Linked DNA regions of Danio rerio. The protein of the gene in region 5 binds, or shares a complex with, the protein of the main gene of each other region. Links are inferred from orthologs where the notes say so. Each region holds a gene or a part of one and is shown on either strand. Other genes may lie near its edges. The genes, in order: sf3b4, sf3a1, sf3b6, ddx42, sf3b1, rbm17 and dek.

Region 1 (4,463 bases), on a different chromosome or scaffold from region 5:
AAACAGGATTGTGAATAAAAAATATTTGTTGTACTCTCCCATTCACTTCACTCTAAATTTATCCAACTCTGACGACTTTGAACCTGGAAATGTGAAAAACATTTGCAACATGTCATTAAGATGTTTCTCATCTCTAACCTGGAATAGGCATGGCTGCTCCGAGGGCAGTCATGACAGGCGTGGGCATGCTTGGAGGAGGTGGAGCATCTGCGAAAAGCTGATGTGGGCGATCGGCCTGGGACAGTGGATTCTGTGCGGCAAGGAGACGCTCGGCTGCTGACCCATGTCTTTCACCCTTTGAGTCTTTCTTAAACGCGTATGAAACAGTGATGGGCCGATTACACAGATACTGGCCATTCATAGCCTCGATAGCCGCATCTGACGCATCAAAACTGGCAAAGTTGATGAAGGCGTAACCCTTCGAGTTGCCCGTATCGGGGTCTCGCATGATCTTGGGGGTCTGAAGGATCACACCGAAAGCGCTGAATGTGTCATAAAGTAATTTCTCGTCGATCTCAGGGTCCAAGTTGCCAATGAAGATGTTGGCACCAACGTCGAGGTTCTTGTTGTGCGCTGAAGCTTTGTTGACTCGTATGGGCTTGCCGTAAAGTTTGATCATATTCATTATTTTTATGGCGTAGTCCGCATCTTCTTCGCTGAGAAACTCCACAAAGCCATAACCTGAAGAAGAGAGAGCGATACCAGTTTTTGAAGTGATCCTATTAGGTTGTTAAAAGTTCCTAATTTTGTTTTACATGCAGGGCTCAACAATAAGGACTGCCCGGTGGCCCGGGGCCAGCTTGAAAGGCGCTCGGGACAGTAGACAGGATTGTTACTGGCCCCTATCGCACGTTATTTTTTTCGTAACCTGGTCACAACAAGTACATCGAAAACATGGCAAAATGGCAGCAACATCAAACGATGAGGCTAAAAGAAAATGTCTGTTTCTAAAGTATTGGAAGCAGACAATACATGTGTACAAAATTAAGAAACTGGAGAGAGAAAAAAAAAAGGTTGTCAGTTTGGCAAGCCATTTTTATAAAAATAATTTAGAGTTGCAATAAAATACCAGCTTTTTTTTCCATACTGCTCTTTCGTTGGCATAAAATCTTGAATTTTGCTCATTATACATTTATTACCATTTTTGAAATGTTTAAATTCTATTATTATTTAAAATATGTGGCTAAGACATAACTATTAACTTTTTGTTGTTTTTGGTGGGGGCAGTGAAAATCTCAACCACTGGCCCGATCGGCCCAGTAGACAAAATCCTTGCCGTTGAACCCTGACATGCATTCAATGTTAAAATACACTTTAATTTCTTAATACAATACATAAGAATTACTCAAATATGATTTGAGTATTGAGTACTAATTTGACTACATTTACAATATTAGGCAATGTTGATTTATCAATCAATCAATCAAATTATTTATATAGCACATTTTTACAATCAGAAGGCTGCTCAAAGTGCTTTACAGTCTTAAAAACAAAAAATAAGTTAAATTTAATGTACACCGTCCCTTGTTGTGAAATATAATAAGATAAAAATCAATATCAATTCTCTGTAGGATAGATTTGATAACACACAGGCAGTTTTTGATTGAGGTAAAGAAGGTTTTACATTCGCAAATTTATTCATTTTAACGGTTACTATATAGTTTACCACACTACTTTCAATATTCAGTCTAAATTTGCATGCAAGTATTACACTACAAACAACATTACACTATTTAATTGTCTGTGAACAGTGTTGTAGTCATCGGCTGCTAATATGGTTTCACTGTTTAGAATTTAAATATAATATTTTTCTGAAATTATATAGTTAAGGAGAAAGTCAGAATGTGCAAATATAAAACCAATTATACCTCAATCAGTTTTTGTGGACTTCCAAGTCTGCAGCCTATGAATGCAAAAGTAAGTGTGCAGAATTGCAGTTGTAACAAACAAACACAAGATTTGGGTAAAAAAAAATTATACAATAAATAATAAAAAGTACAAATAAAAACAAAATCAGTACTTATAACTGGGGTTTTGTTCAACAATGTCAACAACACAAACAAACGTAAGATTGAGCAAAACTAGATATTTAGCAGCCACTGGCTGGTATTATGCAAACTTGTTAGGAACACAGTTCCTGTATTGTTTACCACGCTACTTTGAATATATGGTCTAAAATATAATGCAACTATTTCATTGTCTGTGAACAATATTGAACTTTGATAGTCTTTGACTGCTAATGTCATTTTCCTTCTTATAATTTGCAAAGAATACTTTTGCTAAATTATATTAAGAGGAAAGACCGAATGAGGGAGTATAAAAGCAACTTTACCCCAATGGATTTAAAGACGTGGTAACTCACCCTGGTGTTGTCCTGTTACTCTGTCTTTGGGCATGTGTGTGTTTACAACAGGACCAGCTTGAAGGAAAAGCTCCCACAAAAGAGGCTCAGAGACCTTCTCATCGAGACCACCCACATATACAGTGGCATCTGCAGATAAAAGATGATCAATATAAATGACAACACTGAACACAAACATAGTATTTTATTTAACGTTAGATGCATTATTTATATACAATTTATTAATTCCGATAATAATAAGCATATTGAAATATGCATGATTGTTTTGTTACACTTCATTAAAACCAAAACTCAAACGTTTCTTTGTTTTTATTTGTTAAGCCAACATGTTTGAATGAATGAAAATGAGCGATTTGACTGTATCATAGAACATAGGAAGAACTTAAGGTGTTCAATAATGCTGCAATCCATCACTTACCCCGAACACTACATAACAATTTCACTAAAAAGTTAAATTTATCAAATATACCTTGATTTCGTTCTGAAATCGGTCCCGCCGCCATGATGAACCCCGGCGTGTGTACAGACGGAAGCAGTTCTTTTTGCTGAAATCACCTCAACATCGTCTTGTCATCGCAGTGCTGCCGCCCACAGGAGAGGAAGATGAACATTGCCGATTTTGTGGATGTCAAATTATGATTTACTACGTCCTTTGTCTGTTTTTGTTCGGAAGTTACTTAATATGTCTTTTATGTTGTTAAAGGTCATAAAATGGAGCCACAGCTGTGCTAAGCCAGGACCCAGTCAGACTGTCTAATGGACAGATCTGTGGCGACGAAACAAACAGTAGGCTACCGCATGGTTTTTATCACATAAGTAACAATTAATTAAATATGCAAGTTAATATTATCACGAGCTGTATAAAGTACTCAAATGACCTACCATACTTAAGTGGAAGTAGAAATACACAAACTGCTTGTTCAAGCTGAAGCAACACAATTCTTGTGATTTGTGGGGGCAACTTAATTGTTTTATGTTTAAACCAATTAAATTTGTTGAGACAATGAACAAATTGTGTGGAATTTTTTACAGTGTACTAACAAAGTAAAAAAGTGAGGTAAAAAAGTACAAATTAAAGTTTTTAATTAATGGTTAAAAACAAATAAGACTTAAAATGGCACACAAGTGGATAGACTTTATAAGAATGTATTAAAAATAAATTTTGGGTGAGCTAAGTTACCTCAGTATACTTTTAGATTTGATGATGAAAGAAGTTTCTTTTAGATAAGTAATAACATACGCTGAAATGTGTGCTGTTAACATACAAACTTTTAAATTTATCAATAAGCTATATGCACAGCTAGTTTTTTTTAGCCAATGATAAACTTCTAGCGAAAGCTTTATAAAAGCTTTAATTTCATAAGGTTTCTTTTACAGCATCGATGTTGTAATATAATTACAATACATTCAGTTAAATATTTGGTTGGTAAAGCATAAAAACCGTTTAAATGCAGGCGCCGTCATTAGCAGCGAGTAAGCGCAAAAACTTTAAAAAAAATACTGAGGAAAAATTAATTTCCATATTTTAATGACATGGTGTGGAAAAATAGTCTATAAATTAATGCAGTGTTTTTATGCTAGGTCTGATACCCACTATATATCGCATCTCAGCCAGGCAGTGAAGATTGCTGTTATTTAAAGAAATCAGATCTTAAACGCTGCAATTTAGTTTGGGATGACAATTAACCGGAAGCAATGGGGCTGACTGACTGAAATTAAAAGTTTGTGTGCATATACCCCATTGTGTGTAAGATGGAGGAAAAAACAACAGTGAAGCAATTACTTTTCAAAGTGAAATAAAATGATAGGCATTATAAAATTAATGGTTTTCTTCAAATCAAGCACAAGCACTCAATATAAATTACATTTTTGTCATTTAAAAACGTTTCCCAAAAATTAAACTAAAGTACATTAATTTAAGGTGGCATGGTGGCTTAGTGGTTAGTGCTGTTGCATAGAGTTTGCATGTTCTCCGCAAGTTGGTTTCCTCTAGGTGCTCCGGTTTCTCCCACAGTCCAAAGACATGTGCTATAGGTGAATTAAATAAACTAAATTGGCCCTGTGTATGAATGTGTGTGTGAATGATAGAGTGTATGGGTGT
Region 2 (4,393 bases), on a different chromosome or scaffold from region 5:
TCATTTAGCAAAGCTACATTTGTCATGCACATATTGTCAGAAAAGCACAGCATGATCAGCAATAAATCTCCTCTAAATGCCAGAGGCTGCTCTTACAGAAACTAAAAGAAATCCAAAGAGTATTGTGTTAAAAAGGAAACTTTAACTGCTTTCGCTAATTCAGACTAATTAATAAAGACACAACTACAGATTCATCAAGTGTTGCAAGTTTTGTGTAGCTTTATAGTGAATTATGTGTGGCAAATGCTGCTCCAGCTGAATGTAGCTTACTTTACTTTTATTGCTTTATTGACAAAATGTGCATGGAAATCACCAATTTTTTCCCCAGCCCTAATGTATCTTCTAAATGCTTTCACAAATGGAATAATTGTTTTAATAATTTTTTTGCTAATTTATTGAGCTTGCATTTTTTTAAACATTAATCAAAAATATTATTAGAGGAAAAAATACTGAACATCTCTAATCTCTTTGCAAACCAATAAGCCCTCAGCATTTCTAAAAAGTATAATTTACCTTTGTATACTGCTCCACTAGTTTTGTGAAGTAGTTGAACAGACTGTGCTGTGGCCGGAGAAAGTCAAACTGGTAGTTCCTCTGTTCCTTCTGCATCAGCTGTGTGAGAAACTGACGGCCATTACGGGCAACAAACTGTGCGGTCAGTTTCACCACATCCAGGTCAAAGGCTGAGATGGAGGGAGGGTCAGCAATGAACTCAAACTCAGGTGGAGGCTCTTTTGGCACCACCGTCTCATGGATCACCTGTGCTTGGACCTAAATAATCACAAAACATAAGCTCTTTATAACATAGAAAGCTATTAAAATTTTTTATATCTGTCTGCTGGATTATGGCTTGATTTTAACTATTATAAAACTATCTGTCTACATCTATAATATTGATAATATTTATATAAAGCCACAGAGAAGTTGCTGACCTTCTGAGGAAGCTGCTGAGGATGCTGCATGACTTTAGGAACGGCTGCGGATGGTTCCTGAGCTTTGCCCTCCTTGAACTCATTGACCTTGTGTCGGTAGTAGGCATGGTATGGGTCGCTCGGGTTGAGGAAGTTGAACTTTGGGTTGTTGATCTCATTCTGTCGAATTCTGGCCTCAAACTCGGGTCCATTCCTTTGACAAAATAAATGGAATTAATTATTGATTTAATAAAAGTACACAAATGAAATACTGCACTACATGATATATGTGGTAGGATGTCAAACCTGGCTACGAAGCTGGCAGTCTTGTCAACGATGTTTCGCACTTCAGGAGGAGGGTAGATGATTCCCACTATGGGCTTTGTGGCTGGAGTTTCTTCTTTCGGTTCTTCGGGCTGTTGATTAAAACATCTCATAGCTTATTTAATATGAGCAAAATAATACAGAAAACACAAACAAAAATCACAGAATACAGTCATAAATATGGAATTAATTATACAATGTCATTAAATGTTACAAGCTTTGAATTAATACATTAAAACTAATCATGTCCTTAAAATGAAGTTGTGATGTGTACTATTGTGTGAGAATTTTAAGACCACTAAAATATAAGTTAAATACAAAGTCTATATTTATGAGGCGTGTTTCTGAATGAATGCCACAGTTTCATTTACTACACAAATATTGAAGCATGGGTGATGCTTGTGGTGTCAATCTCAGAAACTTTACCATGTTATGTGAGAATACCATATCAGATAAACAGAAAAAAATCAAGCGAATTGGATTTACTGCAGCCAAAAGTGTTTCTATTGTACAACAGAATACACTTCTCACTGTAAATGGTCCTTAAAATTATTACTTTTTATTATAATTGCACAACTGTCCTTTCTCATTTCACAACATCAATAAAACAGAATCTGATAATAAACTGAAATTTATATTACAAACTAATTAGTTTTTACAATAAATATCAATAAATTTACATTCAATTCAAACACCCCTAATTTTTAAATATTATTTGTATATAGAATTTGCATATTCATTTTTAATTTAAGAATCAAAACAATATATGTATATTTATAAACTAACAAGTAATTTGTGTATTTATATTTTTTTCATTATAAAGAAAAATAAGAATAATTATTCAATTAACATCTGAAGAATATTTTGATGACATTAGAAAAACATTTAAAGATCACATTGCAGCCCCCAAAATAAGCAAATGAAATATTTCAAATTTAACTATCTATTATCCAAATTTTTACTTAAAGAAAAAACAATAAAATGCAGAAGGATCATTTACTTATTTTAATAAGTACATGTAAGTTTACTTTTGTTGTTGTTGTCATTTTTTACAAAAGTATATATATTTTTAGATCTTAATTTTTATTAACCTTTTTTTCTAAACAATAAAGTAGACACTACTACGTTATCTTTTAAAATGGTTGTCTTTGACCACATCGATTTTGGGAAATAAAACAGTACATTTACATAATATATATTTTTATATTATATTATATTTATACTAATAATAAAACAACATTATGCTGGGAATATATACAACAATGACTGCTACAAAAGATAACAAAACAGATAACATATACATTAAAGTTTAACTTTAAACAAGTAATGCTTCTACTCAAAACAATAAATTATAAAATTGCAATAATGCCCAGTATTATACTTATGAAAGACGAAAAATGTAAGCAGATGAATATAAATCGGATAAACCTACCCATCGTGTCTATGAAAGTAATAAATTCTGAAAGCTTCATACCTTGTTATTCAGCTCCGGCTGCATGATCTGCACAGGCCCAGGCGGCATGACTGCGACACTACTGGCTCTTCTCGGACCGATTCAAACGTTACTGTGTAAAATGAAAGATTATTTGAAGCTAAAGACTCAACCGTTATAAAATAATGAACACTGAAAGTCGCAAGAATGGCTAAAGTTATACAAATTATGAAGGCAGTTTTACATAACTCACTTACCTCTCGTTAGCCAGCAGCCACACACACAACACAAAACGGACAACCAATGAAATTCTTCTTCTTCTTATGGGGTTAATGGCGGTTGGCAGACCAACTTAAATGGTGCATTTCCGCCACCTACTGGATAGGAGTGTGGAGCGCATAATGTTGGAAAAAGCATGAGTACTAAAGATATATGATACGAATGGAGGGATGAGATTACCATAGGGAAGAGAGAACAGTAATAACAGTAGGAGGAGAGGAGAGAAAGAAAGAAAAAAAATACTAGTTAAAAATCATAGTAAATTTTATTTCCTTATTTTGCTAAGCTATTCTTAAATTCTATTAATCAATTTTGTTTCCTTTAAGTAATTAATTAATTGCATTATTATTTCAACTTGATTTGAACTGTTTCCTAATAGGGTCTGAAATGACAAATTTTTAATCCCATAAATACTTAATCCTTGAACTAACTGATATCTCTGATTGTCATATGCCACACATTCTGTAATTACATGTTCTAATGTTTCTATTTTCCCGCATTTATCACAACATCCTGTCTCGTGCTTCCCTATTCTGAACTTATACTGGTTTAGCAAACAATGACCAGCACGCAACCTAGTTATTACCACATCATTCCTTCTATTACTAAACTTATTTCTAGTACCACCCACACATCCTTGAATATTATGCATATGTCTGCCTTTTTCTCCATTATCCCACTCCCTTTGCCACATTCTACCTGTTTCTTTTGCAATTATGTTTTTTACCTCTGACTTACTTATTTTTATTTTTATTTCTATCTGAGTATGTTGTAATGCTTCCTTTGCAAGTTGGTCTGCCTCTTCATTACCTACTACTCCCATATGACCAGGAATCCACAAGAAGCTTACAAAAAGTCCACCCTGTCTGATTCTGAATAAATTTTGCATTATCTCATTCATTATGTCCTGTCTTGCCTTAGATGTTCCAGTAATTAAGTTGTTTAGTACTGACAGAGAATCGGAGCATATTACTGATCTTAATGGTTTCACGTCTTCTATCCACTGAAGAGCAAGAAGTATAGCTACAATTTCTGTAGTGTACACAGAAAGTCGGTCCGTTATTCTTTTTGATATTTTAATATTGAATTTTGGGATGTAAACTACTACTGCCGTTTTTTCATCTTTAGGATCTTTTGACCCATCTGTATATATCTGTAAATAATTGAAATATGACTGATTTATGTATTGTTGTATTTCTTTTTCATTTAACATATTATTTTTGTGTTTTTCCTCATGTAGTAATAAATCGACTACTGGTTTATGGAAAAGCCAAGGCGGAATCGCAGAGGTTGGCACAGCAGGGGCTAAATTGATGTCTCTTATGCCCATATTTTGAGCCTCGTCTTTTACTGTCCAACCAAAACTATCTATCTTTTTATGTCCATATTCCCAACATTCCTTTAGTACTGTTTTTACTGGGTGCCTCTCTTCTTGGCTTTTAATGCT
Region 3 (4,336 bases), on a different chromosome or scaffold from region 5:
CTAAGTGTGAATTCTTGAAACTACAAAATGTATCAAAATAAAGAACAGTAGCATTTTGAAAATACTTTTACAAAGGAGCATAACATTTCTTAGCTAACTTTCCAGGCCTATTCGGTCAATCCTTTCTCTGCACCTCATTCACCTCTTGAGGAGGTATTCATAAAAATATAACTTGTGTTAATTTTATCATTATTATTATTTTGCAACTGAAATCTGTAAAACTGTAAAAATCGTGATCTCTGTAATCTACTAAAATCTCCAGTTTTCGTCATTCTCATAAATCATGTTGTTTTTGCTGCCATAAATCCTGAGTTGTAAGTTTTTGACCAGTCTGTAGACTGGAGTATTGTTAAATATTTTGTCTCATACTGGATAACTATGCTCCTGAATCTACCTCTGCTGTTTAACTGTAATTTTCTTTATATGTGTTGAATATTTCTATCCATACTCCAAGCATTAATCAACTTTTTAATTAATCAACACTTCAAGCATTTAATCAACTTTTTAATTAATATTTATCAATTTTCTAGTCTAGCCCTAGAAAATAACTGGCAAAAAACGCCAATGAACTGCACAACTGGAATGCCCTATATCATTCATAACAAAAGTCTTCAGTTAGATGGCAGCAGAGAGCTGAACTCGTAAAGTTTTAATGTCCAATCATTGATCGCCACCTGGTGGCTCACTTCAGTATATGTCAAAAACCCACCCTCTAAATGTGACAAAGATAAATTATTAAATAATAAAAACAAACAAACACACAAATTACAGTTCAACTAAATATTTCCCAAAAATGGTTCCTATAATGTAACGTAGTTCTTATTACACCAAAGTGTTTAATGGATTTTTTTCCTGATAAGTTTTTTTACTTATTGTAAGGTAAACAAGGTAAGCATTGGTAAGTATAATATAAAAGTATAATAATTAAAGTATTATTAAGTATAATAATTAAAACATATATTAACCTTCATTACAGGTTTTAATGAATTTTTGCTGTACGTTGAATATGAATATATGGAATTTAAAAACTAAACTGTTAATAATTGAATTTATAGGGTTTAATGTGAAATTTGGCCAAAGAATAATTAGAAATCGTTACATAAATCATGAAAATCATTTAATAAATGGCCAATCATGGGAACAAATCCACCATCATAAATGATTTTTAAATCATTAATGGTTTTTATTTCTTATTTATTTTTTTTTTCATATGAACAATCCATATAATTACAAGAAGAGAATAGATAAATAAAGAACAGCCAGTAGAATACAATTCAATCAAAATTAAGGCAAAAAACATCAAGATGGTACAGTTTACTTGTCAATTTTGAATTTTATTAAGCATAGAATAAAAAAATATGAGCTTGACGTCATCTCAAAGGAACATGGCCATTGGATTTCCCGGAAAGACGTCATCACACTGCGCCGTCAAACGATCCAAAGTGCGTAGATTTTGAGCTTGTGCTAGCTTGCTTTTTATTTCCACAGTAAGAGAGTTTTTCTCGAAAAGTTTCCTTTAAATAAATCCAGCCATGGCGATGCAAGCGGCTAAACGAGCGAATGTAAGTTCAATTTTGTTTTAATCGTTCAAATGTTCGTATTGTTGACAGTGTTAAGTTAGCCCTTCGACGGCTAATCCCGACATACAAGATCGCTGTTTGTTGTTTTTCTATTATAAATGTGAATAGCTAAGATAAGTTGTTAATGTAATATTAAATGTTAATGTTATAATATATGGTAAAATGTATTCCCCGATATGTAATATATCGTGTAATACGTTCGCTGGGTGTACAAACGTGATCAAAACGTACCCAATTGTGTACATATATTCATTCACGAAATCTCTTTCATTCTTAAATGTTTTTTTAAAGCCACGAGGGTGTTCAAAATCTTAAATCTTTGTGAATTAACAATAAGAAAACGTGTATTTACGTTTGTCTGCAGGGTATCCGCAGGGTCTTTAAATGTCGTAAATTTCAAAAGTAAAAATTTTACGTTTTGCGTTAAAAAGTCATAAATTCACTGAAATATTTTGTTGTAGGTCTTAAATAATAAAAAGATCTACCCAATTAATTCAACACCAAATTACCATGTCAACTTTTGGTTTTATATTTTTATTTTTTTATTATTTTTTTACTGCAAAGAGGTGCAATTCACAACAGCAGACATTTTACAGCAAATTCTCTAAATTAAATTCCCTAATCTGGGAAAGAGAACTGAAGCAAAACATTCTTTTACATGATCTTTAATTATTAACAGATAAACTATTTACAGAAGTATCTGGGTCATTAGAAAATAATTCTTAGTGTTTAACCCTGTAAAAGTAAAAAAAAATCAATCTTAAAGGTCTTAAAGTTTTAAATTACACTTGAAGAAACCTACAGAAATCCTGGTCTGTCTCAACACTGTTCTTTGTTGGCATCTTTTCAGATTCGTTTACCTCCTGAGGTGAACCGGATATTATATATCCGTAACCTTCCTTACAAGATCACTGCAGAGGAGATGTATGACATTTTTGGAAAGTATGGGCCTATTCGTCAAATCAGAGTGTGAGTATCAGTCTGTTTCTTGCATTAACATACTTTCACACAAAGGGTTTATGCCATGGTTTCCGCTACATTCATTCTTCCATGGCGGGGCGTCATGCCAAAATTCATCCTGCCAAGGCTACATTACCGCTTCTCATTCAAAACATTTTATTTTTTTAATAGCGGGTGATAATCACACCAAAACTTATTAAAGGGTAAGTTAATTATAACAGCGTGAACATTTCTGTAACCGTAGTAGTGATGTGCGTCATTTGTTTAACCCTTCAAGGTTACAGGCTGACTGACTGACAGGTGCGTGAGGCCAGCAAACACGACGTATAGCTGTTTCACTTTACTTCAGGACGCATTAATACGGCTCTGTAGGTCTATTGGACACATTCATAAATATTCCTAGCAAGTCTAATAAATGCTGGAGATATACTCGTTACATAAACTCAATAAATCGCTCTTCAGCAGCATTTATTTGAAAGTGCACAAGAAGATCTGCAAGCTCTTGATGCGGCTTATATTTGAAGGGCGTTTAAGAAGTTTTGTGCACGAGCAGAGGAAATCAGTGCACAAGCAATGAGATTCGTATGCTGTAGGCTATCACATAAATGCAATCTCGACTTCTAATACTGCACTCACGACGTTTGTCATTGAAATAATGCCACAGGTTATCTGTGTAAAAAAAAGGCATGCTGCCACAGGTGGAAAAAACCTAGAGGAAACACTGTATACGTTTTATCATTGTGGTAAAGTTTTATATTTGCACTTTCTGACTTTCTCCTCTTTCTGAATATAAGTACAGAAAACTACTCTGCAAATTGTTAATAGGGAAATCAATTGAAGTGAATTAGATTTTGATTAGGGCACAATATATCGTTTCAGCATCTATATCGCAATGTGTGTGTCCACAATCACATCACAGGGATCTGCAATGTAGTCGAGATTATAGTTGACAAGACATTACAGTTAACAACATAGTGGAGTCTAGGTATGGGCCAGTATAAGATTCTGATGGTATGATAACCTTGAATAAAAATATCACTGTATCATGATATTGTGATTACTGCTCTAAAATATTCTTTTTAAATGTCTGGGTAAAAAAACAAAAACTTTTTTCCCCTTTGAACACAATAGATTTTATTTTGAGAGATTTAAATTCTTTTGGAAAAGTAAACATCAGGCTAAATAATTCAAATGAATCATTGACTTCTACTGTTTTCAAAACAAAAAAAAAAAAAAAAATGGTATTACAGAAAAATTTGGCGGTTTTAAAACCTTGACTTTTCCAAACTGCGGTATAACTTGAAAATAGTTGTCATCCGAAGCCTAGTGGATTCATTATTATTTGCCAGTGATTTTAAGACCTAACTGTAATAATTTCAAACAAACCTAAACATTTGGGCACAATAAATTAAACGTTTGTAGCTTAAAGGTTAATTATTCATTTGTATGCAATTAAATGACACAATGCTATTATTATTATGATCATTATTATTATTATGATTATTATAGATTGATTACTGAATACTGTTTGACTGCCCATAAAATTATAAATCTTTGTTTATTTGCATCTTTTGTCCATTGTATTTAACTATGCTAGTCATTTTAATATAATACTTTATACAGATACACTCCCCTGCAGAATCATCCTAATCTTTACAAGCTAGTCGTCTGCTGAAATTGTATATATATATATATAGCAGTGAATAAAAATATTGCAATGTCAGTTTTTTTTTTCCAAATATCGCGCAGCTCTAGTTTTGATATTCACGCGATCATTCAGTGAAAACTTGTGATAT
Region 4 (3,893 bases), on a different chromosome or scaffold from region 5:
TGAAATTGTTGTCTGCACCCCAGTAAGAATTTGTAATAATTTAATAAACCCCTATTTGTATTCACTTGTGTTTAATTAAGGGGTTTGTTTAAGCAAATGTTTTTAATGTTCACATTTCTCGCATAGGGCCGTCTGATCGATCATGTAAAAAAGAAAGCTACGTCTCTGCAGCGAGTGACCTTTCTAGTATTTGATGAAGCTGATCGCATGTTTGATATGGGCTTTGGTATGTGTGAAATGCAGTATTTGTTTTGTCTCTTTAATATTGTATCAGTCATTTTAGAAGTTAGTTTTGTTATATGATAGGTCACCTAAACCAAAACATTGTCATGTTATGATTTACAGAACACAGTCAGTAATTTGTTATTCAATGTATCAATAGTTTATATACCAGAATTTATTTTCAGGCATATTTAAAATGAGATTTATTTAATGATGTTTTTAGGTTCATATCATATTAAGGTGTTTATTTGAAGGCCCAATCCCATTGTATTTTTTACCCCTTTCCCCTTGGCCCTTGAAACGGAGTGTGAAGGGAAAGGGCTTCAAGTTTTACCCCTATAAAATGGGACAGCACTACAACACCAGCACACGTCATCATATATCATCACGACTGCCGTAGTTATTCCATTTGTGTTATTTTTTGGTATTTATCTTTAGGAAATAACAAAAGACAACGATATCATGTTGTCAAATCAATATAATGTGGAAGACATTATAAGATCGTAACTGTACTGTGTATTCACACCGTAACATATTAATCTATACGAGAAGTACATTAACATCATACCAGACACTGTAAAAAGCTCATTACCAGCCACTTTATATAGATTAAATATTGATATTTTAATCTATTTCTGTTGATATAGATATTTTGCGCTAAAAATATATTTTTAATTGTTTTTCTTATAAAGCATGATGGCAAACCACAACAAACCGTTATGAATTTATTAAAATGTGCTTAATTGTTGTAAAAATTCTTAATACTGACAAAAAATACTAATTTGTGCATCTCGTTTCTTTCATGTGCTGCATTGCTTTTTGTATTCTGGGAAATTTTCATACCCCGTGGTTTTGAGTTCTGAAAAATACAAGTTTCAAGGGCTATCTAGCCTTTCCTTTAGCCCTATGCCTTTACGCTAAAGAGAATTGGGACTTGCTAAAGGGAATTGCTAAGAAGTAGAATTGGCATTGGGCCTAAATATTATACTTTATTAACACTATACTATAAATCTCAAGTTTTGAATAATGTAAAATATAATTACATTAAGTATGAGCATTAATATTTATTTTTTATAAGTATAGGTTTGTATGTATTAAAATAATATTGACCTAGATATTGTTCTTAATGACAAAGTACTAGACAAGTTAGGTGCATCTAAAATACTTACTATGTGTATGTAGTTTTTTGTAAATGCCTTTGCCCTAAGAAATTTATAATTGTATCATTTTATTTGTATTTAACAGAATACCAAGTGAGATCCATTGCCAGCCATGTTCGACCTGATCGACAAAGTAAGTCTTTTTCACATTCGTCATTTTAATGTCTCACTATATGAGTACAAATGGGCCCTCACAAGTATAGCTAAACCTGTATATATACACACACACACACACACACACACACACACACACACACACACACACACACATATATTATAGTGTGTTTTACATCTTTAATGCTCATTTTTGACTTTACCTCGACTTATCTTTTTTGTACTAGCTTTAATGTACACAAAAATCTTTATGACCACTGATCTCCCACAGCTCTGTTATTCAGTGCAACTTTCCGGAAGAAAATCGAAAAACTAGCACGAGATATTTTGGTCGACCCCATTCGTGTGGTGCAGGGAGACATAGGAGAGGTGCACCCCTTATTTCTTGCACAAACATTTGTGTACCGCATATTTGTAGGTGTTCACCTAACCCATATATTTCATCCTCTCAGGCTAATGAAGACATCACTCAGATAGTGGAGGTGCTGCAGTCTGGCCAGGACAAATGGGGTTGGCTGACCCGCAGACTGGTGGAGTTCACATCCGCTGGCTCAGTGCTGGTGTTTGTTACTAAAAAGGCTAACTGTGAGGAGCTGGCAACAAATTTAATTCAGGAAGGATATAGCCTGGGTCTGCTTCATGGAGACATGGATCAGAGTGAGAGGAACAAAGTCATAGCAGACTTTAAAAAGAAGAATCTGCCTGTATTGGTGGCGACCGATGTTGCTGGTTAGTGGAACTTATATTTTGCAATCAATCTTCAACTGTTTCTCGTTGTCACTGCCAAAATAAAGTTGTTGTTTTTTACTTCATAGCTCGTGGGTTGGATATTCCATCTATTCGCACTGTTGTCAACTATGATGTAGCCCGGGACATTGACACACATACACATCGAATTGGTAGAACAGGTCGTGCTGGAGAAAAAGGTGTAGCTTATACATTGCTCACCACTAAAGACACTTCATTTGCCGGTGACCTGGTTCGTAATTTAGAGGGAGCCAATCAGAGTGTTTCAAAAGATCTGTTAGACCTGGCTATGCAGGTAATTCAACACCTTTCACAATGCATGTTTCATTGATTTTGCTTTTAAATAATTGCTGAATGAATACATTTTTAACTTTGCTTTTAATGTTTTTTTTCCTCGTAGAATCCCTGGTTCAGGAAATCTCGCTTTAAGGGAGGAAAAGGGAAGAAGATTAATATTGGAGGTGGAGGCTTGGGCTATAGAGAGAGACCTGGCCTTGGATCGGAATGCTCTGTTAGTTTGAGATTTATTTTGGTTTTATTTGAAAAAATATGAAGAGTTCAGGTGCAAAAGCGGCTAAACGCCAATTCAACCAAAATGAGCTAATGACATTGAGAGAATGCATTAGGCACACTGTACATATTCAACAAGTATTTTAGTTTCAAATCATCTTAATCCCAGCGTCAGCCCATTCAGAAATAACAATTTGTTGGCAAAAGCCTCTAAACACCACTTGCATTTGACAGCAAAAGCAGCTTTGTCCCAAGAACCAATCAGAAGGCGCGAATCGAATTATATGTTTTCAGTGTAACAGCACGCTGATAAGCCGGCTTTTATGACGAGACTGTTTTACTCCGCTTCCGATTTCGATTTTAAAACATGTAGTTTGATGAACTGGATGAGCTTGTCAGTGAATGGCAAATGAAAATATTCCTTTACCTCAAAACTCTGCATTTTATAAAAAAAAAAAGAACACAATACAGTCAAAAGTGTATCATGCATTCATAATGTTTTTTTTTTTTTGTGCAGCGACGCTACTTTGAATGAGTCTGATTTACTATACATTAAATGGAAATTCCGTTATACGAAAGACGAAGTTAAGATGCCGTTCTTTTATCCCGCATGGATGCTATGAGGATAAACAAGAGACGAAAAAGAGATCAAGACCTTGAGTAAAGTGAGAACGAATGAATGAATGACAGCTACTGAAACTGTCTGAGGGACATTCCGTTTTGCCCAGCAGGCCTACCTTGTGTTTTATTTGCTAATGTAAGCTATTTTTTAAAAGATAAATATAATGTACAAAACTATACATTATTCATATTACTCCATATTATATGTCTGATAAGCTTTTTATATGAATGGACAATGCACCAGATATTAATGTTTCACAATATTTTTACACTACATTATCTGAATTTAACAAGCTTAGTTTACAATGTTTGCAATGTTTTCATTACTCACATTTAATCTAAATCACCAATATCAGAAATGCCAACAGATTAAGATTTAATTAATGTCAATTTTAACGTTATTGATTAATGCACTTACTTGACAGATTTCGTTCATTCGTTTTCCTTCTGCTTTGTCCCTGATTAATCAGGTGTTACCACAGCAGAATGAACCGCCACTTATCTGACAGATTTAAGTAT
Region 5 (3,893 bases):
ACTCTTTATAATAATATATGGTGTACTGCACGTTTAACAAAATAAATATAAATTATAGAATTAAGAATACAGCATCTAATAATGAGGATATTTATATGGGATTTACAGTTCAATCAAAAGATTTACTGTATATCTGTTTATACATTAAATCATTTTAAAGGAAGCGGCTTTACAGTATTAAACGTGACAAACAACAGTGCCAGTGTTGCAACTTCAAACGAACTTAAGATTTTATTCGAAAGTAGTTTTGAGTTCTTTGTTCTTCAATTTCATTTAAGCAATATCAGGGCCTTAAAGGGATAGTTCACGCCAAAATGAAAACTTTCTTACTATTTACTCACCCTCAAGAGGTTTCAAAGATTTTTTTTCTCTAGAACACACAAGATGATATTTTGAAGAAAGCTGAGAATCTGTAACCATTGACTTCCATAGTTGGAAAAACAAACACTATGTAAGTCAAGGGTTGCAGGTTTCTAATGTTTTTCAAAATAAAGGTTTGAAACAAGTCATTCAAAACATAATTTTTGGGTGAAATATCCCTTTTAAGACTGTCTCAGTAAGGCATAAGTGGATAAATGAAATGTACTGAAAAATATTGATGATGGATTTATATGTGTACTTGTTTAAGTTGGGCAGCAAAGATTTTGGGAGACGGTTGGGTGGTGTCATTGGTCCCATCATGGCATAGGTTGCAGGTAGGTGTGTTGTTCGAAGGGTTAATGTTTTTAATGTGTGAAACAGATGATACAGTAGTCAGGCAACTTAAACACAGACACTGTGTAGTATATGAAAAGTTTCTAATTGCCAGAGACAGCATACTGTCAGATTTATTTTTCCCCCCATACTATTGCCTGCATATTTTTCAATGGTTAGACACCCCTGATGTGTCAATGTCAGTAATGATTCCCAATAAGAGTGGAGCTTTAAAGCCCTGTGAAGCCAAATTTAACTCCATTTATGTTGTCCAGATAATTTAGTATCTTAAAACCGATGGCCTGTGGGTGCTCATACCAGTACAATTTTACAAGAAGTTTAGATCATGTTTAAACAGGCTGCACACTCACAAAACTGACTCACTTGGGACCAAATTATGGGAGGGCAATAATTCTGGATCAGGCAAATCATCTTGCATGTAGTCCCAGACAGAGGAAGCTTTACAAAAACTGTTGTGTAAATATATTTCTATTTTATAATGATAAAATAGAGATATATCTATTGAAGAATCTGTGTACCAAGATTCCACAGGCCCATACTAACTGTCCTTAATTTCTCTCCTACAGCAGTACTGCTATGCCAGTCCTGTCTGCACTCTCTTAAGGGTGCAGCAACTCGTCCTGTGTAGGTTATGGTCAACAAAAAGAAGCGTGTTTATCAGATAAATCAAGACCATAGTTAGTAGTTTTTGCTCTGATGTGAGGCCAGAGAGCCTTTCGGGGGAATGCACCATGATTTCATCAAGCTATTTTATTGATTTAGTTTTACTTTTGTTATGTTTCACATTATTTTTAAAGCCTCATCGGGGACTTTTTTTAAATTCCATATTCACTTTTTTCATTTCAACTTACTTTTAGACAAATTCATCTTAGTTTAAATTTTATTTAATCTAACCAGATGCACACAAGTGTGCTTTAAGTCATTGATTAGTTTCTGATATTTTGTTTCTTTTCTGATTTGATTAGAACTCCCCAATGTGTTCAGTGTCTTTGACTGTAACACCTATAGTTTATTAAATGTATATGATTTTTAAGTCGGTTTTTGAATACTACATGGTTTTCCCCTTTTCTTGTTTGTAAATGAGTGACGAGCAGAATAGGTGGTATGCTATTTTGTGTGTGAGTACAAACCCTTTTCCAAAGTGTTACTAATGGTAAAGAGAAATTTTCTAGGCTTCTTTTCTGCCGGTTGAAGTCTGACTGCAGAGGGACCCTTGGCACTGAAAGTGTACGTATTCTGGAGAGCACAGCCCAGGACCCTGCATCAGTGATGGCTATATCCTCTCCTTATCTCCTCTTAAAAGCAACAGAAACCTCTTTGTACCTGCCTGTTCTTAATGTTTGACTGTAATGAGTGCTTAGCTTTTATTGCATAGGGTTCTTTTGTGTTATGAGAGGACAGTAATTTAAACATTAAAGGCCATCTATTCAGGGACACTTGACTGTAGTGCTTTGTGTGTGAAAATGCTGGTTTTGAGATGCACTTGGCTGACCGTTTCGCATCTTGTTGGTGCTCTTTCGCCTAGGGGGTAAAACACCGGATCCCAAGGTGCAGGTCAGGACGTACATGGATGTTATGAAGGAGCAGCAACTTTCCAAAGAAGAGGTAAGTTCTAGCACTTTGGTGAAATGTCTGTAAGATGCTACTGAAAAAAAAAAGTCACAAGTGTCTTAAACTGTCACTGTTTCTCTTGGTTTACAGAGAGAGATCAGACTACAGATGGTAGAGAAAGCAAAAGCTGGAGAGCTGAAAGCAGTGAATGGCTCCGCTGCATCTCAGGCCGCGGCCAAACGTAAACGTCGCTGGGACCAGACTGCTGATCAAACCCCCAGCAACTCAACACCCAAAAAAGTGTCCAGTTGGGACCAAGCAGACGGAGGTTCTGAAGTGAGTCGATAACAACATTTGGTCTGCAGCAAATGGATATTTTGATTGTTCAGATTTTCATGAAAAATAATTACAAATTCATACAAAGACAGATTTTATGTATCTGATCTGCTTGGAAGACTATGAAAAAGTCAATATTTAAGTAGATGCTGATATACAAAAAAGTAAATGTGTAAATATCCTATAATACAAAAAAAAAACTATTGCTTTTTATTTGTGTAGTATAATTCGAAATTATAGTATAATTCAAAAAGTTGTTTAGGAAAAGTCTTGAGGACCCTACGGGACCCATGTTCTCCAGTGAGGAAAACTATTGTTTAGGGGTGAATTTCTCTAGTAAAGTAATGATCAGGCCCCTTTGGATGTTTGTAGAATCCCCCTAATTTGTCTGTGTCCTCCTGATTAAGAGCCATGGATTAGAAATAAAGCATTACAATGCCACTTAAGAATTTTTATAATGCTGTGAGATTTTTATTTTGTTACTTAGACACCAGGACACACACCAGGGCACACACCCTCCAACAGTCGTTGGGATGAGACCCCTGGCCGTCCCAAAGGTAGTGAAACCCCAGGAGCCACTCCTAGCACTCGTATGTGGGAACCCACACCTAGCCACACCCCAGCAGGAGCTGCCACACCAGGCCGAGACACACCTGGACATGCTACGCCAGGCCATGGAGGGGCCACTTCCAGTGTGCGCAAGAACCGCTGGGATGAGACACCAAAGACAGAGAGAGGTCTTTAATAGTTTTTTTTTGTCTAGTTTGATGTGTAATCTGCAAATAGAGTGGTTTTTAAACCCTTTGTTTTGTCCGTTTCAGAAACACCTGGTCATGGCAGTGGCTGGGCTGAAACCCCACGTACAGACAGAGGAGACGAGTCGGTGGGTGAGACGCCCACTCCAGGTGCAAGCAAGAGGAAGTCAAGATGGGATGAAACACCAGCCAGCCAAATGGGCTCTTCAACTCCCCTGCTCACCCCTGGAAAAACCCCTCTGGGTACACCTGCTATGAATATGGCCACGCCCACTCCAGGTACATGACCAGTGCTGTTGTTTAGCTTAGTTTAGTTTGTAATTTAAATAATTGTTGTTTTGTGGAAGTTGCTTTAAAGGTTTAAATGTTTGCAGGTCACCTGATGAGCATGACTCCAGAACAGCTGCAGGCTTGGCGGTGGGAGCGGGAGATTGATGAAAGGAACCGTCCATTGACTGATGAGGAACTTGATGCAATGTTTCCAGAGGGATACAAAGTATGTGTTATAAAAGTATCATATTATGAAAATCTACAGAG
Region 6 (4,506 bases), on a different chromosome or scaffold from region 5:
CTATACATTTTATTTTATTCTATTTGTAATTGGAAATACAAAATATAAATACAACAAAATTACATTAAACCCTACAAATTATGTATCAGATGCGGAAGGCTTAACACCAGAACGCCATATTAGGTCCAGAAAAAAGAATATACCAAAAAAAAAAAATAAAATACAAAGAGTGTAAACTTACAAAAATCATCCTAACTAAAAATGAACAAATGAACGAACAAAACAACAATATAGTACAGATATCATCTATACCAAGTTAAATAATATAAATAATTAAAAACATTTAAGGCGGTTTTTGTTTTCATTTTAGCCAGGACATCCAAAAATTGTTTAGTTCTTCTAAAAAACCAAAAGTAGTGGAGGGGTTTTGAAATATTTGCATTTATGAATATAATAGTTTTCTAATATAATAACAATATTTATCAATGATAATATAGTATTTGTGTAAAAAAGAACCATCTTTCATAATTTCACATCTCACATCAGTACATCTTGTAATGTGGTAGTCAAACCTTCAGCATCCACATTCTTGCATTTAATTATCTTTTTTATTGAACATTCAACAAGAATACAAAAATATACAGAAAAGGTATCAATTCTTTAACAACAAAAATAGACAACAGAACAAAACAAAAAGAGAAACAAAAGATTCTGCCAGGGGTAATATAAACAACAAAAATCTATCTTAAAGCAAGGTCACAGTGATGTATAAAAGGTCACATACAATACAGTCTGCTGGGTATTATAGAAAAGAGACAATACTGTAAGATTCACATAGTGTTATTAATTTTAAAGCTTTAACATTGCTGGAAGTAGAGATTGTATTCAAATAATACTTCAAATCTTTACAAAAAATAAGAAAAAACATTTGCACTTGTGTATGAAAAGATTTGCTAGTGAAAGAAATAGATTTATTAGAAAATCTTTATTTTTATTTATTTATTTTTTATTGAATACAAGAATAATAACATTGAAGAAAAAAATACAATAGCAAAAAAAGAAATGAGAAATAAGAAAAAAAAAACTTTACAAAGCCTCGATCATTAAGAAAAAATATAAACTTTAAGAATTTTTCAAGTAATAACCATGCTCTCTTCCATTGAATGCAGTCAGAAAAATTGATTTAGAAAACTGTACATCTTGGGGAGGTATATAGCCTACAGAGTTATGTAACAATCGTCTGACATGTCTGTTGGCACAATTTTTTTTTTTTTTTTTTTTTTGATAAAAAAAAGACACTCCGTCCAAAAAATGTTTAGGCATAATTGTTTTCCTCTCATTAAAGTAAAGAAACATTATTAGAAAATCTTAAATACTTTGATATCGCTGCCATTCTGACGTGAATACCTTTGGCTATGCGTAGTGTGACGTCATATGTTCGCGACGTCTCCATTGTAGCATGTTACGCTAACCAAGAGTGCATAACTTGTAGAGGATTTATTTTCGTGAAAGGTGTGTATCTTATGTCAAATATTCAACTATTAAAGTGTATGCGCTGTTACAAGATGAGGCAGCAACCATTTGTTTATTAAAAGCAGTAAATATTGCTAGCGGTCTACGTTATATGTGAATGCTAAACGTAGCTCATACATATTACTTATTATAAGGACCATTATTAATCCTATATAGCTTATTTAAAGTTAAATGTTTGTTTTCTGTTTTTTATGTCTAATCTATAGTTTATGTGATAATCTAGCATTTTCTGTTCTAGCTTTTATAACATGGTTGGCTGATTACTGTTTGGATTACGTTTATGATGCATGTATTATTATGATTTTCAGTGTTTTTAGTGGAAAGGAGGAGAAATGTCTTTATATGATGATTTGGGGGTCGCAACGAGCGACGCAAAAACAGAAGGATGGTCTAAAAACTTCAAACTGCTTCAGTCTCAACTGAAAGTGAAGAAAGCTGCACTGACACAAGCAAAGGTTGGTCAATGTTTAATTCTTGATAAAACTGTTTTATTAGTAAATATTTTTATTAATAAATGAAAAATGTATGTATTAATTGCAACTACATTAAATCTGAATATATCAGGGAATTTGAAATTAGTTAGTTATTTAGGTATTTTAGTCTGTGTCAATGATTTTGTTTACAGTTGTGAATTGAGAGAAAGTTGGTTTTATATTCACACATTCAGACTTTCTTAATAATATAATTTCAGAAAAGCATTCTTTGCTAATTCTAAATGGTGAAATCATATTAGCAGCCAGTGACTATCAAAGTACAACATCGTTCAGAGTCAAATAAGCGGTGCTAATGTTATTTTTGAATCATACTTACATGTGATTCCAGACCAAATATTTAAAGTGCCATGGTAAACTAAATAAGGAGCATTCTCATAAGTAGTTAATGGATCATAAATCTTATGGTACGGATCAAACTAAACTTAGAACCTGTAATTGCAATAAAAATACAATTCAAGAAAGAAATATCTGAAAAAAAGGAAAATATTTAATAAAATGATCTGATAATGCTAAATATAGAAATCAACATCTTGTACAACATATCGCATTTACAACGTATGGTAATTAATGATTCAACAATTCACATGTAAAACTTCATGTTTGGTTATAAGTGCATCATTTTTGAAACCCTATATTCAGTGACATAATTTTGATGGTTGTTTGTCGTTACACAATGTAATTGCTACAACATTCACCAGTGCCAAGTTCCATTGAATGGTGATTTAAATCTTTACCAGAAACATCGGTGTTTATGTCTGTACTAGAAACTGTTCTCCCAGCACTTCTGTGTTATTAAATTGTTTGTAACTAGTTGAAAAAGTGTAAAAACTGATTCTCTCTGATCTGATCAAACACAGATTTTAATGCAACGCTTCGAAGGATTAATGAACATATGCAGATCATTATCATTTAATATTCATGTTGCGCGGGTTTGAATTGAGGTCACGATCTTTTAATGTTGAATTGTGCAGCTTTACACTGAATGCTTTAATGCAGGCTAAACAAATAGTGACAGAAAACACTTCTTAAGAAACTAACACTAACCTAAGAAAACATTTAGTCCCACCACTTGTTCCGTCATCACTATATTTTACAGGGAACCCAAAATGCTTTCATACACGTGATTTGAATGTTACGGGAGGCAATCTCTCTGCAATTGTTATAAATATTGGATTAACCTACAAGTTTAAAAAAGTTATTAATCTGTGGGTCATGTGCATACCGTACTGTGGGTTGTGATCCGTAAGGATCCGTTACACCCCTTGTCACAAGTCATCACTGAACGAGTGAGTATGAAACCAACTTTACCTCTATACAGTTGTGTATGTAATTGTAAATCCTTGTTTCTTAATGATCTTTTTTGTCTGTTTATTTTACTGTTATCATTTTCTCATTTCCAAATCAAACTGCACCAAATTGGGTAAAATGTGTCATTTAAAATTTTAAAGTTCAAAATTCCACTCACATTTCTCTTTATAAATTTGTTTTAAACTAGGTGAAATAAAACAGGACAAAATAAATCACAAAAATGTTCCCATTGAAACTCATTTAAACTTTACAATTATATCCCTTTGACATTTAAGCAAAATGTCATACATTCTTTGTTTCATATTTTGACTTCAAAATTCTAAACATTTATTTAAATATATTTAAAAATATATTTTGCTATTTAATTAAATAATTTTAAAAAATTAAGATGTATAGTATTTTGCACATATTTTGGCATATTTTTCAGCTTTGAAGCTTTCTTACTTTCTTTCTTTCTTTTTTTCCTTATTTGTTTCTTTCTCTTTCAGCTTTGTTGAGTAAACGAAATTACAATTATGTGATTATATTCGTGTGGATATGTTTGTATTGTGTTTTTTTTTTACCTTATAATGTTACAAATATATTTTAAAAGGAATCATGAAATTGATTTATGATTTATGAAATGTTTGAACAGTTAGCATTTTATTTGACTGATAGTTTTGTCATCTAATGACATGTTTACTTTTTGTTTTAATTTCTGCACAAGGATTAATTAAGACAAGTGAAACCAATAGGTGTTATAACCGAAAAGTTTTATTGACAAATGACTTGTTTTGCAGACCCAGAGGACGAGACAGTCCAATGTTCTTGCTCCAGTTATTGATCTGAAGAGGGGAAGTGGAGGGGATGACAGACAGATCTCTGATACTCCTCCGCACATTGCTGCAGGGATGAAGGTAAACCGTGTCTAGATCCTATTTAGGAAAAATAGAGTATATAAAAATAAGTATAAGTAGTAGTAAGATTGCTACTAATTAAAATTATTTAAAAAATCTAATATTACTATGGGAAAGCATTTAAGCAGAATTTAATAATGACGACAGTAATCAATGCATTACATGAAATAAATTAAATCACACTGGTTTTAATTTGGTAATTAATTTTTACATCAAGATCCACAACAGCAATGCACTAAACACTAAGAAATCTGCCGTTTGAGTTTTTTTTATTGATAACGTTCTCAAAATGATTCATGTTCACACTGATTGGCTAAAATGACACAATGCTGTAT
Region 7 (3,363 bases), on a different chromosome or scaffold from region 5:
ATTGCAGACGTTACAGAAGGCAGTCATTGATCTGCAGTTATAATCAACTTGTGTTGATATAAAAGTTAGTAATAAACATTGATACAGAAGTATTTGTGTATAAAGCATCTGTTTTGTGAGAAGTGTTTCACATGTGAAATGTAAGCAACCCGTTCGGCTTTACTGTCGACATTTTCTCAAGTGAAAATGACGTTGACTGAAACTTTGTCAAACACCACGCCCACCAAAAGGGTACCCTTGGTAGTGGAAACGCAAGCCTGATAAAGGTGATCCATTCCGACCCGAATCTTACCGTACAGTACCAGTCAGTGAAAACGAGCCATATGAAAGCAAATTGTTACAGTTTTGAAAGAATTCAAAACTATTACATTTATGGCACTGTAAGAAACGAGTACAACTTTATAACTGCAGCCACAGATCCGACAATACAAAAATCCTTTCAGCAGAAATTGCATTTAAACTAACAATTTTCATCTCAATATTCCTAGACAAAAAAGAAGCCTGCAGCAAAGAGAAAAGCTCCAGCAAAGCCTGTCCCGAAAACTAAGAAAGCAGACAGCAGCAGCAACCGAAAGAAAAAGACTGCAAGCAAGAGAAAAGGTATTAATGCGGTCATATTATAAATGTTTAATAGAAATGGTAAATATTGTGTTTTGCAGTGTGTAGAGATTAATATGCTGTAGTTCTGCTTCTAGATGAAAGCGAAAGCTCTGATGACGATCAACCTTTGATCAAAATGATCAAAAAACCACCAACAGATGAGCAGTTGAAGGAGAACGTAAAAGACCTCCTGAAAGACGCAAACCTGGAGGAGGTTACAATGAAGCAGATAACCCGACAAGTATGTTATTTCACCTTTATTGGGACAGAAGCTTACTTTAAAGGGTTATGATCTGTATTGCAGTTTAACTAACTAGACCAGGGGTTCCCAAACTTTTCAGCCCACGACCCCTAAAATAACAATTCCAGTGGCTTGCAACCCCCAGTATTCTCTGAGGTGGTTTTACATATATAAAACCAGCACACAATGGTGCACACAACCAATATGCCCAAGTCTATTCGTCGTTTAATTTTGGAGAGCGCCACCCCAAGACCATCCTCCATGTTAAGTTGTGTCATTTATTTATTTTTATAATGTACGTGATTGCACGTGAAATCAATGTGTTGCATCTGACGCTATTCCTATGTCTATAATATAACAATAATCACCACAAGGATTACAAAAAATATTGAAAGGCTTATGGCTTTTTATTTTCATGTTGTTTTTAATGGTTATTATTACCATGCTAACAATGGTACTATAAACTACTATTTTGTTCTTCAGCTAGTTATGGATAAAATATAGTAGTTCTAATAGTTTAATAAAATGAATTCGATTTTTGTGAATTTCCAAGCGACCCCACCTATATTGTCCCGCGTCTGACCCCAGGTTGTCCCGACCTCCACTTTTGGAACCACTGAATTAGAGGACTAATTTATTGCATGCATTTAGTCTGTTTATCACTGTCATCTATAGTCATCACAGGATATAGATGATATTTCGTTAAAGTTTGACAAGTTGAAGTCTTTTCAAATGCTGTTATGATTTATAAACTTTCTCTTTGTTGTAGGTTTATGACAAGTATCCTGACTTCGATCTGAGCAGCAGAAAGGAATTTATTCGTGAGACTGTTAAAAATGTAAGTGCATTCAAAATGCTCATTTATTTTAATATTCATTTGTATAATAGTCAGTTTTAACATGGCTAATGTTCTTGCTTTTCAGATGATATCCTGAAGTGATGAGAAGAAAATGCCTTATTTAAAAAAGTCGACTAGAGTGAAGTTGGTGGATGAATATTCATTGCACTGTTCACTGTTCTGTAGTTTTATGTTTATTTTATACAAGTTCAGCTTTTTTGTATTTTAAAGAGTCTTTTAAAGTTAGAGTTTTGACAATTGACAGCAAATGATGTGGATTTTGGTTGTTGAAATATGCCACATTTTTAAAGTAATTTTAGTTTCATAATTTATATGGCACGTGGCCATACAAACTTAACCATATTTTATTTTGACCAGAAATTCACAGTTTGTTTGTGCTAGAAAAGCCTGCAGTATGATTAGCATGAATTTGTTGATGCTAAGATACTGCAGGCATGTTTTAGAAAGTGTTCATTTTATGGATTGATTTTATCCATTATTAACGCTGGTTTCAGTTTTGAAGGTTTGAATGTCGATTGCAAAAACAAGGTAATTTAGATTAAATCTGTCTGGTTTTTGGTTTCAACATCTTATGTTGTGCAGTGTTGGTTTACATCTCAGTGCTTTGCATAATAGTAGTGTCCAAACTCATTCCTGAAGGGTCGATGTCCTGCAGATTTTAGCTCCAACATGCTTCAACACATCTGACAGGAAGTTTTTAGCATATCCAGTAAGAGCTTGATTATCTGCTTCAGGTGTGTTTGATTAGGGTTGGCGCTAAACTCTGCAGGACACCGGATCTCCAGGACTGAGTTTGGACACTCGTGGCATAATAGAAGAATTTGGTATTTTAATGCTAATGTGTTAAAAGCAAAAAGCTTTAAGTTTTTTTTTTCTTTGTAAATATGCTCTTTAAGTGTATTTTACTTGCTTGTGTCTTAAATCAAGTCATACGAAGCAAACAAATCATAATTCTGTGATGTTACACATTCATATCAGCAGGTCAGAAATGTAGTTTAGGTCCCATAGTAAGACCAGATTTGATCTGTTGTAAACACTGACCTCAGTAACCAGTTATCAATTATTATCAGTCATAATACTCAATGATAGTCTGTCACAAAAACATCAAAACAGAAATGAAAACGTGTTTATTTTGTAATAAATAGATTTTTCATAATATATAAGCTGTCTGTATTTTTGTTCTTGATGTTGTTTTACCTGGATGGCTGTGTTTGTTTTTGCCACTTAAGGTGTATTTGTGATATTTTTACTACAGGTTTTTAGCTATAATTTTGACATAATGACTTTTAAAAACAAGTACCATATAAACAACACTCATTGTGGGAAGACAAACACATCTTGATTTTACTTAGAAAAGCATTTTATAACGATAGCTTATATTTAAAAGATTTTTAAACTAATTAAGTCACGCTTCCACAATTTAGTCTTAATTTTATGATGCAGAACAAAAATTCTACATTCTTTAAGTGTTTAGCGTTAGATTTTACCTGCACCTTTAATGTCCAGCTGTCTTAGTATAATTTTTTTTCCAATAAGTACATTTTGTACAGGTTTTTTGAGGGGTGTGGTGCATTTATTAGAATCAATTGGTACATCAGCTCTTAGTACTTATTTCATCAAAAGTGCACTTTTTCAAACATTTCAGCATATTTTCATTTGTGTA

What was found.
Region 1: sf3b1 (region 5) and sf3b4 share a complex: the UniProt entries of both Homo sapiens proteins name them as parts of the SF3B subcomplex of the 17S U2 SnRNP complex. The link is inferred for Danio rerio from reciprocal best matches to the Homo sapiens genes SF3B1 and SF3B4.
Region 2: sf3b1 (region 5) and sf3a1 share a complex: the UniProt entries of both Homo sapiens proteins name them as parts of the 17S U2 SnRNP complex. The link is inferred for Danio rerio from reciprocal best matches to the Homo sapiens genes SF3B1 and SF3A1.
Region 3: the proteins of sf3b1 (region 5) and sf3b6 are in contact, whole or in part, in a crystal structure (PDB 2F9J), measured with the Homo sapiens proteins. The link is inferred for Danio rerio from reciprocal best matches to the Homo sapiens genes SF3B1 and SF3B6. Residues at the interface, in NP_036565.2 of Homo sapiens: Trp388, Ile392, Arg395, Asn396, Arg397, Pro398, Leu399, Ser400, Asp401, Glu402, Glu403, Leu404, Asp405, Ala406, Met407, Phe408, Pro409, Glu410, Gly411, Tyr412, Lys413, Val414, Leu415; in NP_057131.1 of Homo sapiens: Arg12, Leu13, Pro14, Pro15, Glu16, Val17, Arg19, Ile20, Ala32, Met35, Tyr36, Arg46, Gln47, Ile48, Arg49, Val50, Gly51, Asn52, Thr53, Thr56, Thr59, Ala60, Tyr61, Val63, Glu65, Asp66, Ile67, Phe68, Tyr92, Ala97.
Region 4: the proteins of sf3b1 (region 5) and ddx42 are in contact, whole or in part, in a cryo-EM structure (PDB 7EVN), measured with the Homo sapiens proteins. The link is inferred for Danio rerio from reciprocal best matches to the Homo sapiens genes SF3B1 and DDX42. Residues at the interface, in NP_036565.2 of Homo sapiens: Pro509, Pro510, Lys513, Arg517, Thr520, Asp557, Arg558, Tyr561, Lys562, Asp565, Leu566, Arg568, Pro569, Ile583, Ala607, Ile610, Ser611, Arg614, Glu622, Arg625, Asn626, Arg630, Pro646, Phe647, Ala650, Val651, Lys653, Ser654, Lys655, Lys656; in NP_031398.2 of Homo sapiens: Asn68, Glu71, Glu72, Tyr75, Phe76, Glu77, Asp78, Glu79, Glu80, Glu81, Asp114, Pro115, Leu116, Glu117, Phe119, Met120, Val123, Ala127, Asp130, Met131, Arg133, Leu134, Gly146, Ile147, Arg148, Ile151, Glu152, Glu153, Glu154, Asp155.
Region 6: the proteins of sf3b1 (region 5) and rbm17 are in contact, whole or in part, in a crystal structure (PDB 2PEH), measured with the Homo sapiens proteins. The link is inferred for Danio rerio from reciprocal best matches to the Homo sapiens genes SF3B1 and RBM17. Residues at the interface, in NP_036565.2 of Homo sapiens: Arg334, Ser336, Arg337, Trp338, Asp339, Glu340, Thr341, Pro342; in NP_001139019.1 of Homo sapiens: Leu309, Met312, Val313, Asp319, Asp321, Leu322, Glu325, Thr326, Glu329, Leu372, Arg375, Tyr376, Phe377, Gly378, Gly379, Val382.
Region 7: sf3b1 (region 5) and dek share a complex: the UniProt entries of both Homo sapiens proteins name them as parts of the B-WICH complex. The link is inferred for Danio rerio from reciprocal best matches to the Homo sapiens genes SF3B1 and DEK.

Annotation. Positions count from the first base shown.
Region 1 is NC_133194.1:8,478,610-8,483,072, reverse strand, and holds the start of sf3b4 (splicing factor 3B subunit 4), read right to left. Parts: upstream 2,894-4,463; 5' UTR 2,866-2,893; coding exon 2,832-2,865; intron 2,492-2,831; coding exon 2,363-2,491; intron 682-2,362; coding exon 139-681; intron 1-138. UniProt on the Homo sapiens protein: Component of the 17S U2 SnRNP complex of the spliceosome, a large ribonucleoprotein complex that removes introns from transcribed pre-mRNAs.
Region 2 is NC_133183.1:43,422,393-43,426,785, reverse strand, and holds the start of sf3a1 (splicing factor 3A subunit 1), read right to left. Parts: upstream 2,943-4,393; 5' UTR 2,925-2,942; exon of another isoform or gene 2,921-2,924; intron 2,801-2,920; 5' UTR 2,758-2,800; coding exon 2,710-2,757; intron 1,328-2,709; coding exon 1,218-1,327; intron 1,126-1,217; coding exon 933-1,125; intron 772-932; coding exon 514-771; intron 1-513. UniProt on the Homo sapiens protein: Component of the 17S U2 SnRNP complex of the spliceosome, a large ribonucleoprotein complex that removes introns from transcribed pre-mRNAs.
Region 3 is NC_133195.1:38,721,914-38,726,249, forward strand, and holds the start of sf3b6 (splicing factor 3B subunit 6), read left to right. Parts: upstream 1-1,385; 5' UTR 1,386-1,532; coding exon 1,533-1,562; intron 1,563-2,430; coding exon 2,431-2,549; intron 2,550-4,336.
Region 4 is NC_133178.1:30,673,476-30,677,368, reverse strand, and holds part of ddx42 (ATP-dependent RNA helicase DDX42), read left to right. Parts: coding exon 1-22; intron 23-126; coding exon 127-226; intron 227-1,467; coding exon 1,468-1,515; intron 1,516-1,767; coding exon 1,768-1,865; intron 1,866-1,948; coding exon 1,949-2,225; intron 2,226-2,311; coding exon 2,312-2,538; intron 2,539-2,643; coding exon 2,644-2,754; intron 2,755-3,893. UniProt on the Homo sapiens protein: ATP-dependent RNA helicase that binds to partially double-stranded RNAs (dsRNAs) in order to unwind RNA secondary structures. Unwinding is promoted in the presence of single-strand binding proteins.
Region 5 is NC_133184.1:33,850,550-33,854,442, reverse strand, and holds part of sf3b1 (splicing factor 3B subunit 1), read left to right. Parts: intron 1-1,280; exon of another isoform or gene 1,281-1,338; intron 1,339-1,886; exon of another isoform or gene 1,887-1,941; intron 1,942-2,239; coding exon 2,240-2,319; intron 2,320-2,415; coding exon 2,416-2,601; intron 2,602-3,088; coding exon 3,089-3,338; intron 3,339-3,422; coding exon 3,423-3,635; intron 3,636-3,730; coding exon 3,731-3,852; intron 3,853-3,893. UniProt on the Homo sapiens protein: Component of the 17S U2 SnRNP complex of the spliceosome, a large ribonucleoprotein complex that removes introns from transcribed pre-mRNAs.
Region 6 is NC_133179.1:26,166,137-26,170,642, reverse strand, and holds the start of rbm17 (splicing factor 45), read left to right. Parts: upstream 1-1,368; 5' UTR 1,369-1,452; intron 1,453-1,781; 5' UTR 1,782-1,805; coding exon 1,806-1,928; intron 1,929-4,054; coding exon 4,055-4,171; intron 4,172-4,506. UniProt on the Homo sapiens protein: Splice factor that binds to the single-stranded 3'AG at the exon/intron border and promotes its utilization in the second catalytic step. Involved in the regulation of alternative splicing and the utilization of cryptic splice sites.
Region 7 is NC_133191.1:45,446,261-45,449,623, forward strand, and holds the end of dek (protein DEK), read left to right. Parts: intron 1-488; coding exon 489-600; intron 601-683; coding exon of another isoform or gene 684-695; coding exon 696-841; intron 842-1,610; coding exon 1,611-1,679; intron 1,680-1,764; coding exon 1,765-1,776; 3' UTR 1,777-2,855; downstream 2,856-3,363. UniProt on the Homo sapiens protein: Involved in chromatin organization.